Drosophila melanogaster: one gene and its partner. The gene in region 1 interacts genetically with each later gene. Each region holds a gene or a part of one and is shown on either strand. Other genes may lie near its edges. The genes, in order: jumu and l(1)sc.

The links.
Region 2: of jumu (region 1) and l(1)sc, changing one enhances a phenotype caused by changing the other (phenotypic enhancement), as found in Drosophila melanogaster (one study listed by BioGRID).

What each region holds. Positions count from the first base shown.
Region 1 is NT_033777.3:10,348,154-10,352,082, forward strand, and holds the start of jumu (jumeau), read left to right. Parts: upstream 1-2,028; 5' UTR 2,029-2,374; coding exon 2,375-2,434; intron 2,435-3,929. Other genes in the region: CG31406 (uncharacterized protein), read left to right, coding at 767-964, 1,027-1,329, 1,392-1,454, 1,515-1,586, 1,643-1,756.
Region 2 is NC_004354.4:407,700-411,613, reverse strand, and holds l(1)sc (lethal of scute), read right to left. Parts: upstream 1,894-3,914; 5' UTR 1,819-1,893; coding exon 1,045-1,818; 3' UTR 797-1,044; downstream 1-796. UniProt on the Drosophila melanogaster protein: AS-C proteins are involved in the determination of the neuronal precursors in the peripheral nervous system and the central nervous system.

The DNA of each region.
Region 1 (3,929 bases):
TCCTACCGACTGCGCCAGTAAAATTGTTGTTTTATTTATGAGTCGAACTAATGTCCCGTCAGTTGACTAAGGACAACGCCAAGAAATAAAAAATAGTTTTAGGAGAAATAGTTTCACGACTTTATTCTTTGGATCTCAGCTTAAGACTAAAAATCAAATGCAAATTGGATTGAGGAGAAGCCTCAGTATTTGAACAATATTTGTATTTCGGGAGAGCCTCGCTCTTGGGTTCTTAAGATTAGGTAGCGTTGAAAGAGGGCAGTCAAATCTGCTTAGGTCAGGCTTTAGGATGTTTACAAGAACGGCTGCGCTGCCAAAGATAAACGAATGCTGCGCAGCTGGGATACGTTATGGAAAATTACTAGAGTGCATTACTGATTTCTTTGAAATAATGGAAGTGGCTGGTTTGGACCACCCAAATACGTCACTATATATATATATATAATTTTTATAATTATAATATATAATATTATAATTTTTAATAAATGAACTGCAAGCTAAGGGCTTTATTTCCTGCGACTGAACTTAAGTGGTTATTATAAGTTTATTAAGTGGTTATATATCTTTGGGAAAAATATTTCAGATATTTTTAAATTTGTGACTTCGTGTTTGGAAGTAGCCTGGTTGTCTAGTGTCGCGCCACTAACCAAATAACCTATTTACCTTTTTACTGAAATTCCCACATCTTATTGCACTTCGCTTGAATCTACACCAAATTTCCATTATCTTGATTTTTTGAATTTTCTACGTTAGCTTTGAACCGAAAATGGTGGTTACTCGCAGTGCAGCTACGAAGAAGCAGAACCAAGTGCTGACCTTATCTGACCAGAACATCCTAGCAGAATCTTCGAGGACCAAAGGACCTCCTGTGCCCAAGAAGAATGTTAAGAAATTGCCGACTGCACGTCAGTGTGTCAAGGTGGCTGCAAATCTTCTAGACGCACAAGAACCTAACGAAAATGAAGTAAGAAATATCCAAAGATATATAAATATTTGTTCAAACATTACAAAATATAAAATATTTAGAACACAGGAACCCAAAGGAAGGATGGAAAGCAACTGGATTCCAAATTGAGTTCCACAGTCCAAAATACAGAAGCAGCGAGGTCCAAAGAAACTCCTGCACCCAAGAAGAATGTTAAGAAACTGCAGGCTGCACTTCCGTGCGCCGACGCGGCTGCAAATCTTTTGGAGGAACAAGCATCTAATGAAATGAATGAAGAAGGACCTCCTGTGCCCAAGAAAAATGTGAAGAAACTTCCGGCTGCACGTCAGTGTGTCAAGGTGGCTGCAAATCTTCTAGACGCACAAGAATCTATCGAAAATGAAGTAAGAAATATCCAAAGATATAAAAATATTTGTTCAAACATTACAAAATATAAAATATTTAGAAAACAGGAACAAAAAGGAAGGATGGGAAGCAACTGCAGGCACAAAATTCGAATGAAAATGAAGTAAGAAATATCAAAAGATATGCATATATTAAAATATTATAAAATATATAATATATTTAGAAAACAAGCACATTAAAGAAGGATAAAAAACTACTGGCTTCCAAAACTCCAGAAGCAGCGACAAACGATAATGTAAAATGAAGATACAGATACTAATAATATTAGTATTTATAAAATTCCAATTTTAGGCAAATCCAAATATGAAACCAAGCCTAAAGAAGTCGACAAGGGAGCACAAGTCCAAAAAGTGTAATGACATTCAAAAAGCTGGAAAAGATCACATCGAACATCAAGCCGAATAATTTGTATCACGTTGCGTTAATTGTTTTTGTTTTTAAAGTTCAAAATTGATTTTAGTTGCTTTTATAAGCAAAAATATAAATATAAATAATTAAGAATACCTAATAACAAAGAATGCCGAACAGTGAGGTTACCTTTTAAAAAGCCGTTACACGCAGGGTTCGTTTCCCGGCTAAATGGTTACCCGAGCTCCCAACCTGCCACTGGTTGCGGTGCCGTGTATTGTCAACGTTTTCCAAAAACGGAGGTACGGTCACTCCAGTCTCGGGCGCTCTCATTTTTCGTTCGAATTCTGACCGGGCGGGTTTATTTTATCATTGCTCCGCGACTTCGAATACGAGACCGGTGTTGTGCGCTCCTGATAACTGCGATATATTGAGCGCGAGCGCCATGTCCTTTTGCTGGAAGTAGAATTTGAAAAGTGCAGAGATCACGGCTTGGATTGCCAAGGAACAACGGTGTTGAGACTGAATATATTTTTTGTGCGCTGTTTCGAAATAGAACCGTTAATTGGAATTGGCAGTAAGAAGCAGAGAGGCGGACGATATTCCGGTGAAATCTTCGCCAGGCGGAAACATCGATCAAAACAAAGTGCATGCTAAAAACATAAAAGATTCAACATGTTCGAACTAGAGGATTATTCGAGCGGCATACATGAGGGATTCTTCAGCAAATATGCGGTGAGTTGAAACAAAAAAGGCGAGCTAAGCGAGAATAATAACTTTTCGCGAACATTTCGCCGGCCGGCCACACGCACCCATACACTCGCATGTGCCGAGACACAGACAGGCGCAATTTTTGAATTTAACGTTCGGTCTCCACGTTCCCCACACCCCAACTGTTCCCATACCGACATGAAGAGCAAAACCCACCACCAAGAACAGTTTGGCGGCGAAACTTTGGTTCCACTCGCCATCTCGCTCGCCCCTGCGGCCAAATATTCCCCGCCTCGCTCGCTCCAAAGCTGTGTTGTTGACTCGCCAATTCGCCCTCGCCGCGTTTAACGTTTGTGTGTGTGTGTGTCTGTGTTTACATTTGATCGTTAAACTTTGAAAAATTTCTTTTTCGCCCAAAAAATTGATGATTAATTACAACCGGAACAGCGGAGCGCCGATAAAAAATAATGGAAGTATAGTACCATTGCGTTTGAGGAAGTCTGCTGTTTATTTTGGGGGTTACTAACTCGGCTAGCCGCAGAATTCACCTCTGTTAAGCGACTGTTATTTGCACTTAATTGTGGACATCAATTCACTTTTCACGGGAGGGGATTGCCTGTATTATTCTACTTGTATTATTAAGACACTTGGAGTATTTTACTTTGGCGCACACAGCACAAGTCTTTCTTTTGTTGTAGCCATTCGCAATTATTTGGCTTATTTATTTTCTGTCACACACAGCGGCGGATGAAACAATAGCACACCTTATAATATATTATTTCTTGCAATTTATAAGGTTTAAGAATTTCTTATCTTCATTTTCAAAGAGTAACTCTATAATATAACACAGTATGAGAGGAGAAGGTACCAAAGATTTTTTTTTAACTAAAAGGATTATTTCTTCGGCATAAATTTACTTGTATAATGTTAGAGAGTTTCTCTGGTCGAGTATTCACTGTAGAGTTACGTTATCACATTCTACAGTTTAGCACAGGTTAATAAATTTGCAGTCCTATTTCCTTGGCCGCCAATATGCGCTGAGTACTTTAGTGTGTTTCTCCGCCGGTTCGCTGAGTTTTTCGTCTGGTGGCCTCTTCTTCGGCTTTTGCGTTTTAAACTTTTTGAAGGCCAAGCGTTCACCTCGAATCTCTCGGTTTTCATCTGTTTTAGTCACAGTCCAACCAAGTGGCTAATGATTTTGGGCCAGAAAGTGGGGGTATGGCTTTGAAGTTTGGGCTAAACTGACCGCCTAAATTGTCAGTCCGTCAGAGGAACTGACCTCCAGCAAAGTTTGCACATTTTCAATAGAAAATCAAACGAACGGACTTGGGAAAACACGTGCGCCTGTTACTTGCAACATGCAAAACTCCACACACGCACGCACGCACAATCTACAAGTGTTGCGAATTCCCAGTAAGCGTGTGCGTGTGCGAAGGGGAACAAAGAAAAGCAAACAAAATAAATCGTTTCATCTTGTACGCTTGTGTAAGTGCGAGAACAAAAGAAAACCAAAAAGCAA
Region 2 (3,914 bases), on another chromosome or scaffold:
TGGTAAACTCAGTCCAAGTTGAATGCCGTTTCCCTACGCACGTGTCCAGCGCAATTGGCAATTTGCATATTGTATGCTAAATAATGGGTGTGGCATCTCCTGCCTAGATGACATTCCTGCATATTCATTTAATGGCCCTAATATTTCACCCTTGGGGTGGGTTTACTTTCCAATTTTTAGCTACGGGGTTAGCGGAAGTGCATTTCACGGCTCGCCGACGTCGTCCAGCTTGATGAAAAACTTTGTGGCGGTGTGCGCCAGCCACGTGGATTGTGCGAGTCTTCAAGTACTGATCCTTGGACTAGGACAATTTCATCCTCTCAGGCGTGACTGCCTATTTCCGGGCTATTTACGCGCCATTAACAATTCCCGGCCGAATTGTAGCTCGTTAGGGAACCAATCATGAAAATATTCGCTGTTGTTTCCTGTCAGGTGCTTAACTCTATGTTGGTTACGAATTTTGAGTGAGTCATGTCCACGCTCCAAAAGTAATTGAATATAAATAATAAATTGGGTAACTTTTTTGTGAAATTATTATTTCTATCGCTAGTACCATTATTAAGCCTGAGGCCAAAACAGCTAAGCTAAAAAATAATAATAATAATATAAAAATACATAAATTAAAAACGAATATCATAACATATATATAGTCAAAGCAATGCTTCAAAATGCAGATTGTTTAAAAACCTTTTTGGCTCTGATGCTGGTATGAGAACGAGAACTCGTTGTAATTACCCTACATGACGATCTGAATATATTTACGAGTAAGTGATTTCAGTAAAAAACATTTGGAATTAAATTTATCAATATGTTTTTATTTTGGCTTAAAAGTAGTTAGTTTAGTGTCTTCCATGCTTATAACAAACTTATAACTATGAAAAAAATATGTCTTCCATTGCGTTAAAATATAATAAAAAAAAATATGGGGTAACTTAGAGGCTAATGTGAAATTTGAGACTTGGTTTTACACTCACTAAGGCAACAATTTAGGGTATTTACAGTTTGTACAATATTTGTTTGTTTGGGACTTTTAGTAAGACCCCTTCACTGCTCTTGCCAAGATGAAATATAATCGAGTAGCTCCTCGTCATCTGGCTGCTCGTCACTGAAGCTATCAAAGGAGTCGAATTTGAGGTCCTGCTCTTGTAGTTCCTGTTTGATATAGCCACCTCCGGAAATCTCGGATCCGGAGTACGACGGCGTGGGCGAGGCGGAGTGGTACGAGTGGGATTGGGCAGACTGGGTGGCTCCCGTCAAGAACTGTTGCGAACTGTCCAAACTATCGTTGTAATCGTTATAGCTGCTGCCATCGTTGCTACTTTCATCGGCGGAATTGTAGATGTGACGAGTTGATGAAGCAGTGCCATCATCAAGCATGTCCTGTAGTCCTCGAATATATTCAACGGCGATTCGCAGTGTGTCCACCTTGGATAACTTCTTGCTGCTACCACGTCCTCCATTGGACAGCGAGTTTACCACAGTTTGAGGCAAATGCTGGCGGAGATTGACGAATCCATTGTTCACCTGCTTCACGCGATTGCGTTCACGGGCATTTCGTCTGGCTACCGATGGCAATTGCTCGCCATAGGGCATGTTATTGTAGTTGAACTTCTTCTTCTGGGAGGACAACATGGGTCCAACATTGGACTGTTGACTCTGCTGCATATTCTGCAGTTGGCTGGTACCCAAAGGTATTTTCGGAGCAATCAACTGGTGCTGCTGCGTTTGATGGTGATGCTGATGTTGCAGCAAGAAAATGTTACTGTTGGTCAGCTGGTAATGCTGCTGCTGGAATTTGCTGCTGCAAATGCTCGTCATGGTAATCCTTGCGAGAGTTTTCTAAGATTTAGTTTACAGATGTTGACTGTGTGGAATCAGATTCCGCAATGATAATTGCTGTTCTGATCTAGGGCTTTAAATACCCGGCAGTGGCAGAGGGAAACGCGCCGCGACAGAGGCAGCGACTTCGGCAGAGGAGCTACAGGGGTTGGTACGGGGTCGGATCCTGGCTACCTGCCCTCGAAAAACCGGGACCTAAGTCCTTTGCACAAGTGATCGTACATTTTTCCTCTCTTTCTAGGGGTTCTTTTTCTGTGGTGGGTGCCTCTATTCCTACTCAGTCTCTGTGTGCCTACCTACCCATCCTTTTCCCTCTCCCACACACTCTTTGTCCTTTGTGTCCGTCTACATAATGCATTTTTTCCTTTTGGGAAAATTTTAAATCTCAGATCTGCAAGATCCTTGTCATGGCTAAAAAAAAAGATTTTGAATGCACTTCCACTTTTGTCGAATGTCGTTTGCATTGAAAGCGAAAAATAAAGGAGAGTGAGATCTTGGAAGGGAATTTGATATAAAATGTGATCCATCAAATGAAAGAAAATGATGCGAAGGCAAAAGAAACAAACTTAAAAGACCATGTCGTGGGACTTTCACTGTCTTTAAAACTGCGTATCCACTTTTATATCCTGTAATGTTATGAACCTTCATTAATATTTTTTCTGACCCATCTGCATTTGACACGTGCTTCCGATCAGTCCGGTGCATTAGCATAAGCTTCAAAACAATGATACATAACATCGCAGAGCGGCGCAGACAAAATCCCACAAGTGTGTGCTGTATCATGAATACCAAGCGTACTATAATAAGTAAGGGGACGGCCAGACAAATAAAAACGAAACCATCACAAAGGCATTGAATATTGACAGCAGTTGGGATCAAAGTTGCAGTCGAAACACTCTTACCCTTTCATCAAACGCTTGTGATACAAGAAAGCGATCTAAATTTGGGCTGTGCACTCGACAAAAAATGTAATATTTCTGACTGGTTAATATATGTCTTGTATGAACAAACAAAAACTGAATTCAATTAATTTGCATAACTCATTAAATCGTATTAAGGCTACGATGCAATTTAAAATATTTTTTTGGGAAAATATTTTGATAGTGTTGCATTATTGAATAAATATTTTCTTTTAAAGATAATTATTTCGTGGAATACTTCTAAAAATCGAATGGCAGTTTTGATTTTAAAGCATGAAGCATTTGTGTTGCTTTAATATCAAGACATCACTCATAATCAGGTTTAGTTCTAAATTATCAAATTAGTATGTCGAAAAGCATTAAAAAAGGTCTTTAAATGTTATTTGACTAGCAAATTAGTATTTCAAAAAGCTTTAAAAAATGTTATGTCTTTATTTATTTGCTGCTTGCTGTAGGGTTGTGACTTATTATGCCCAGTCCAAGAAAGTAAAGTTATTCCGTTTACCAACAATCCCCCTGCAATTAAATTAAGCATTCATAAATCTGTAAGGAGCTGAATCTGAAACAAATTTCTGGATTCGCAACTTGCAACTTTGTTGCAATGGGAAGGCAATACCGTTACCGAAGACGGATAAGTCGAGTTACGAGATTGCTCCCATAAATGCATAAAATCTTAAAAAAAGCCATAAGCAGCTGCCCTAAAGGAGATCAGAAAATTAGAGGAAATTGATCCCACAAGAATGAACGCTGAAAATCATAATAAAGCAAAAAAAAAAAAAAAAAAAAAACACCATTTACCTAATAATTGGTTTTTAAAAGTTGCTACCGAATTCGTTTTCTAATGCATTTATAATATCTAGAATAAAAATCTTTGCGTCATCACCTTTGTATTTCTCTTGGTTCGAAGCAAACCCTTTTCAAATACTCTTTTAATATGCTCCAAACACACCCACCAAAAAATAGGAAAGTAAAAAAGGTTTTGGTTTCAATTTCATAAGCCTCGGACACCATGCCCTATAATGTTCAGTGATTAATTAATCCGCATGAGATCAGAATAGTGTTGATCCCAGTTTCGTTTTTGGGGGACGCAGTAAATATAAAATAGTGAACAACTGGCCAGGGTTGTCAGGTTCATGGTTTCCCAGGTTTCCAATC